Linked DNA regions of Solanum lycopersicum. The protein of the gene in region 1 interacts with the protein of each later gene in a pairwise test. Links are inferred from orthologs where the notes say so. Each region holds a gene or a part of one and is shown in the gene's direction. Other genes may lie near its edges.

Evidence for each region. The genes of interacting proteins can lie anywhere in the genome.
Region 2: the proteins of transcription factor E2FA (region 1) and DP1 interact in binary tests that used the Arabidopsis thaliana proteins (3 or more experiments, as listed by UniProt). The link is inferred for Solanum lycopersicum from reciprocal best matches to the Arabidopsis thaliana genes E2F3 and DPB.

Annotation. Positions count from the first base shown.
Region 1 is NC_090800.1:2,212,603-2,216,576, forward strand, and holds the start of transcription factor E2FA, read left to right. Parts: upstream 1-1,174; 5' UTR 1,175-1,386; coding exon 1,387-1,629; intron 1,630-3,455; coding exon 3,456-3,645; intron 3,646-3,817; coding exon 3,818-3,868; intron 3,869-3,970; coding exon 3,971-3,974. UniProt on the Arabidopsis thaliana protein: Transcription activator that binds DNA cooperatively with DP proteins through the E2 recognition site, 5'-TTTC[CG]CGC-3' found in the promoter region of a number of genes whose products are involved in cell cycle regulation or in DNA replication.
Region 2 is NC_090809.1:59,414,761-59,417,936, forward strand, and holds part of DP1 (transcription factor-like protein DPB), read left to right. Parts: intron 1-1,454; coding exon 1,455-1,517; intron 1,518-1,600; coding exon 1,601-1,747; intron 1,748-1,859; coding exon 1,860-1,928; intron 1,929-2,063; coding exon 2,064-2,162; intron 2,163-3,176. UniProt on the Arabidopsis thaliana protein: Involved in the regulation of the G1/S transition. Increases the DNA binding activity of E2F proteins after heterodimerization.

The DNA of each region.
Region 1 (3,974 bases):
ACAACAACAATATATTCAATGTGACCTAAAAAATGTGACATATGGATTATGGAGGATAAATTATAAGCAAACTTTACTCTCATTTCATGTAAGGTAGATAGGTTTCGGATAAACACTCAACTAAAGAAAAATATTTTTTGTAGAATCTACGATAATAAAAATGCAAAAAAGAGAAGTATCTAAAACAAAAATAATAAGATTATAAGAAAATATAGGATTAATAGTAGTGATTAGTATAAGATGGGAGTAGAAAAGTTGCTCCTACTATTAGGATGGGCATAAATATTGAAAAATAGAGGAATTTAAACGTAGTTTTATCAATGTACGTTACGTAAGAAACTCATTTTCATCCTTGTCCTCCTCGCGCAGCAGAGTGACGCAATAATTAAGTACAATAACTGTTCCATATTGACGAGACACGTCATCATTTAGCATAGTTTTAAAGATTCTTAAATATCTCACACTTTTTTAATTTTACCCTCGTTTTATATTCTTCATTCTCATCGAAAAATTCATTTTTAAAAACAAATTGAAAAAAAACAAACTGAATTGAACTAGTTTGGTTCGGTATTCAGCGCACACTTTTTCAAAACTGCAAACAAAAAAAGTTGCTCCTATTATTAGGGTGAACATAAATATTGAAAAATAGAGAAATTCAAACATATTTTTATCGATATACATTACGTAAAAAACTCATCTTCGTCCTTGTCTTCCTCGAGCAGCGGCGTGACACAATATTTAAGTACAATAACTGTTCCATATTGACGAGAAACATCAATCACTTAACATAGTTTTAAATTTTCTTATATATCTCACACCTTTTTTTTTATTTTACCCTCATTTATTCTTCATTCTCATCGAAAAAATCATTTTTAATTGAAAAAAACGAACCGAATCGAACTAAGTTTGGTTTGGTATTCACTCCACACTTTTTCAAAACTGCAAACCAAAGAGCCAAACGACGAATGGCGAACGCCACCCCTACCTACTAGAATCATGTTTCTTCGACGTAACTTTCTACCCTAATTTTTGACTTCCGTCATTTGATCGCCCAAAAAAAATAAAAATAAAATAGTAAATTTTTTACCAATAGAAGGGTCAAATTGCAAATAATAAGTATTCATATGGACCAAAATGAATAAAAACAAAACATTAACATTTTCTCTTCCCTCCACATATATACAAAAACCAAAATTCCCTCCCTTCCCTCGTTTTCTCCTTTTTGCCTTTCACAGAGAAACCCTTACCCCCTACCCCCCCCCCTTACCCCCTACCCCCTTTACCCCTACCCCACCCCCACCCCATCCCCTCAGAACCCTTCTCTTCAACAATCCAAAAATCTTGAGTTCAAAGGGTATATCTTTTGATTACAAAACTAGGGAAAAAATGACAGGTTCTAGTGCATCCACTGGTGGGGCGGCGCCACCCACTGCTCAGTCATCATCCGCCGTTGTAAACGGTGGAGGGAGGAGTCAGATCTCTCATCCGATCAAAAGATACTTACCCTTTGCTTCTATGAGGCCACCTTTTGTTACACCTGAGGATTACCACCGATTTTCTATACCTGGTGTTGATTCTAGAATTGGGTCTGCTAGTTTGCAGCCTGAAGCTATTGTGGTTAAGTCACCTGTGAGTTTGTTGGATTCTTGTTTGAGTTATTAGTGTTGTTTTTTTATGGGGATTGCTGTTTGATTTTGTGTAGTGGGTTTTTGTGTTTTGAAATATGGGAACTTTAGATTAAGTAGTTGAGACTTGAAATTAGATGTTTTGAAGAAATATATCTTGTGGGGTTTGATTAAATGTAGCTAAAAAGATGTAATTTTGAGTTGAATTGTTGCTGTTTTTGTGCATTTTGCAGTAAATAGCATTCTTGTTTGAGCTTATAGTGTAGTTGTTGGGGATTGCTGTTTGATTCTAATAGTGGGTTTACGTTTTGAAATATGGGAACTTTAGATTAGAGGTGAGATTAAGGAGTGGAGACGTAAATTAGAGATTTCGAAGGAGGATATTTTGTTAGGTTTGATTAAATGTAGCTAAAAAGATGTAATTTTGAGTTCAATTGTTGCTGTTTCTGTGCATTTTGTGTTTACTTGCATTCTTGTTTGAGCTAATAGTGTAGTTGTTGAGGATTGCTGTTTGATTTTATTAGTGAGTTTTGCATTTTGAAATATGGGAACTTTAAATTAGAGGTGGGATAGAGTAGTGGAGACGTGAATTAGAGATTTCAAAGGAATATCTTGTGGGGTTTGATTAAACGTAGCTAAAAAGGTGTAATTTTGAGTTCAATTGTTGCTGTTTTTGTGCATTTTGTGGTTACTAGCATTCTTGTTTGAACTAAGATTGTCGTTTATGGATGCTTTTAATTGGGATTGATGTTGGACTTTGGTAGTGTGTCTTGCCTTTTGAAATGGAACTTCAGATTATAACTGGGATTGATTAGTAGAGACATGAATAAGATATTTTGAAGAAAGATATATTGTGGGGTTTGATTATATGTCGTTAAAAAGGTGTAATTTCGAGTTAAGTTGTTGCTGTTTTGTGCATTTTGTGGTACTTGCGATTTTGTTGATCTGCAATATTTGTATTTCAATGTGTGAATAACTTTTGAGGCTAATTATTGTGGTTGGAACCTGGTATTGGGTTTGTTAAGCTAATGGATGGTATTTGGTATGTAGCTAATTGGCTTTTGTTGGGTTAAGATGTTAAGCTGCCTTTGGTTTTTCATTTCTAATTTCCCCGGAGGTCATTTGCCTCTTGTTAGCTGAAACATCCAGATACTGCTGGCTAAATTTGGTAAAAAGGAGTAAATGAGTCAAAGTGAGTTGGTTGTGATTTATGCTGTTCTGTCATTCATGTTTGCACACGTGACAACCAATTTGGTTACATAGTTGAACATGTAATGTAGCTTTGTTGATCTTATAAACCTCATGAAACCTGAATGCCATTTTCTTTTTGTATGTGGATATTATTGGTGTCATTCATGTTTTGAGTCCTATTGATAGCTAGAGAAGATTGAGTGGGAGGATTTTTATTGTTTGTTCATCTTCAGAATTAATTCCTTTGTTTAAGTAACAATTGGGACTTGTTTGTGTTCTCTAATTAGTTAGCACTAAATTAAACTGAAGCTCTGTTAGTTATGGCTTTCCTTCTATAGGTATATTATTTTAGGTGTGAAAGGTTTAGTGCTTATGTCTTGGAACCAGCCTCTCCATAAGGAAGTTATCTGTCTACAGTCACCTTCCCTGGAGCCTGCACAGAGGGAGCCTTCTTACACTGCTGTCCACCCTTGTTGTTTATAGTTTGATAATTGTGTGCCCAAGTCAAGAATTTTTTAATTCTATATACTCTAATTTATCCCAGGGAAAATTCAGAGTTTAGTCGTAATTGTTCCTCAGTTTGCTATGTTTTACTTGTTGATCACTTATTTCTACTTTGCACACTTAATGCGCCTGTAGGCACTAAAGCGGAAGACAGGCTATATTAAAGAGGTTGAGTCCAGTGACTGGACTGCTAATTCCGGGTATGCAGATGTGGCCAATAGTCCTCTTGGAACGCCTGTGTCTGGAAAAGGAGGAAGAGCACATGGACGGTCAAGAGCCACAAAAAATAATAAATCTGGACCTCAAACTCCTGTCTATAATGCTGGTGAGGCTTGTGTCTAATTTTTTATGTCTTGATTGTAACTGGACACGAGTAAATGTTCAAATTTTATTTCCCTCCGCATCTATCTAAACGTTATTTATAGAAAACGGTCTGTACTGTCTTGGTTGCACTGGTTTATATGGTCTTAATTAACTTGTGGATTGCGATTTCGCAGGTTCTCCTTCTCCCCTTACACCTGCAAGCTGCCGCTACGACAGTTCATTGGGTATTCCATGATTTTTTGCCCAGGGATTGATTTGTTGTAAAAGTTTTTATGGAAAACGTGAGTTTATGGTGGAATAAACCCAAAATTGAATCTTCTGTTCAGGTCT
Region 2 (3,176 bases), on another chromosome or scaffold:
GGATAGGACAAACAAATTGAAACGGAGGGAGTATTAATTATGAGATGATTCACTAAATGGCTTTTGGGTATCAAAATAATGTCTCACAAGGGCATATAATTTATGGTTTTTCTTCCTCAGAACTAGTAATGTGGTTGTTTCTGTCTTCGGGTTATGTCTTGATATTAATCATGTCCATGACATGAGCAGTGAGATGTATAATATCTGTTCTGTTCATTGAATTAATAGATTTACGGTCATAGTTATTATTCAAGAAATTGGTGCATAAATTTTCTGTAGCTTAATCTAGTTTTTTTTTCTTAAGGACATCCTTATACACAAAAAGCTGAAATACTTCAACTGTAAATTCTTTAAGCAAGTGCAACACTCTATATAGCCTCATAATAAATATTCAAAAGAGAAGAAATCACTGTAATGAATGCCCAACATAATTTTACAGATTATATCAGTTAAAGAAACTCTTTGAGCAGGGTTCTTGTTTTTAGCTTGTAAACTTCAGACTCATTGAACTGTTATCTATTTTTGGCCCGGGGAATTCTATAGATGTTAGGTAATGTAATTTTCAAAGAGTTATCCCCACACCACCTTTAGGAGTGACATTTGTGGTGGACAAGATGATGGAAGCGAGACTGAGATGGTTTGGGCATGTAAAGAGGAGATGCACAAATGCCCCAGTGAAGAGGTACGAGTTGGGTATAGTGTGGGAGACGTGGAGGTAGGCCAAAGAAGTATTGAGGAGAGGTGATTAGACAGTTAAGATGCAACTTCAGCTCATAGAAGAACATGATCTTAGATAGGGAGGGCATGGAGGTCGTGGATGAGAGTAGAAGTTTTGTAGGTAGCTGAGTTTGGTCTCACTTTTCGGTGGGATTTGTCTTGGTGAGAGTCTGCCGTCGGGAAGCACCGTGATGGTCATAGTATTAGCCTTATACATGTAGTATCTCACTTTTGATATCTGTTACCATCTGGTGTCTTTTGTGTTTCAGTTGTCACATTATTTTGCTGCTACTGTTCCTTTTTCTAAATGCTTTGTACTACTTTCTTTATTAATCAACATGTTTTCTTCACTTCGTTATTTCTTATTTACAACTACTATAATTTGTTGTAATTGAGTCGAGGGCCTCCCAGAAACCTATGTTTCTCGAACTCTCCAAAACTGATGCCACACTCGTGTCGGATTCTTCAAAAATACACTACTTTTGGATAATCCAAAATGCACCCATCACAATTTTTAGAGAGTCCGAGCAACATAGCCGAAACAGCCTCTCTGCCTCCTGCGCCCAGAAACTTGACAAGGGTAGTTGTACTTCTGTTGTTGGCTTCTAAGGACTTATTTGCACTTTTAACTGTACTCTAGCATTTTCTACGGCTGATTTCTGCTTGCTACATTCTCCTGTGTTGAACAATTTGCTTTTCAAGGGATTTCTGATCTCAGAAGTTAATGTCTTGCTCAGGTTGCAGATGAACTTGTAGCTGAGTTTTCTGATGCTACCAATAGTGTTGCAGGCTCAGATCAGGTTTTTCTCCATCCTCGCGGTTCATAAATTTTTAATTTGTTCGTTTTCAACAATAATATTAGTTTGAACCTTTATTATGACAGAAACAATATGATGAGAAGAACATCAGACGACGAGTCTACGATGCTCTGAACGTACTTATGGCTATGGATATCATTTCTAAAGATAAAAAGGAAATACAGTGGAAGGGATTACCACGCACTGATGCAAATGATATTGAGGAGCTAAAGGTTTGATTTCTCTAACTTTCTTCTTCCTCTTTTTTGTTGCATTCAATGAGCCATCACTTTTGGCACACATCAGTTGATCTATGTTTAATCTAATCTCATGTTGTAACTGCAGACTGAGCGTCTTAACTTGAGAAATAGGATTGAAAAGAAAGCAGCTTATTTAGAAGAACTTGAAGATCAAGTATAAATTCTCTCTAAACACTATCTTTAGTTCAATCTTAGAAATAAGTTTGGTAGTCTTTCGCAATGCTGATGCATGATATCTTGGTCCTGTAATCCTTATTCTTTTTACTAAACTGTTTTCCTTTTAAAATAGTATGTAGGGCTTCAAAACCTCATAAAACGCAATGATCAGTTGTATGGCTCAGGCAATGCTCCTAGTGGTGGTGTGGCTTTACCGTTTATTTTAGTGCAGGTAAATGCTCAACAATCATCTATTGTTATTTGTATTGTTTAGCAAATTAGTAACTATCTGATATAAATCATTACATTCTTTAATATGTCATCTCATGATTTCTTTTGTTGGAATTAGTTTAATCTACAAGCAAGGCAAGTAAGCTCGGGGCAACATGCTTTCCTCAACTTGTCTTAGCTGTACTTGAGCTCAAGTGAATTTTGACCTATCTTAGGCCGTATAAATTTGATATTAACAAAAGCTTATTGCTTTTCGCCTACATTTGAGCATAGGCTTCTTTCTAATAATAAAATCAGAAGGATCACTTCTATATAAGAATGAGAAGACAGATATAGGATACCTCTGGTCTCTGAAAGAGGAGAAAAGAGGAGAGGTTTTCTCTATTTGTAATTATTTTCACAAGATGTATTTGTACAGAAGAGAATATGTAAAATATTATTTTTCAAAATCATCTTCACAATACCTTTTTTTTATCAACTTATTGCCCTGCAATGAGGTGTGAAAGGTTGGCTACGGGGTGTGTGGGGGGTAGAGGTAGAATTATGCTGAAGAAGTGACACAATTGCAACTTAGCGAGGACATGGCCCTAGATAGGATGATATGGAGGTCGAGGATTAGGCTAGAAGGTTCGTAGGTAATTGAGCGTTGCCTTATTTTCCTTATTAATATTATTATTTTCCTAATATCTTAGTCTTCTATTTTATACTTACCTGTTGTTTCCTTTTTTCTAGTTATGGTTTATATGTTGTTGCTACTGGTCCATTATTTTCCACATGGCTTTTTGATTGCTGTTTTCCTTCTCATACTGATTCTTTATGCTTCACTTGAGCTTGAACCAGTGTCTATTTGAAACAACCTCTCTACCTTCAAAGATAGGGGTAAGGCTGTGTACACACGACCTCCATAGATTCCACTTGTGAGATTACACTCGGTGGTCTTGTTCAACGAAATATTGTCCCAAGACCTACTTAAGATTGAGTTAGTTAATGAAAATGGGTGAGTTATAACATGTGA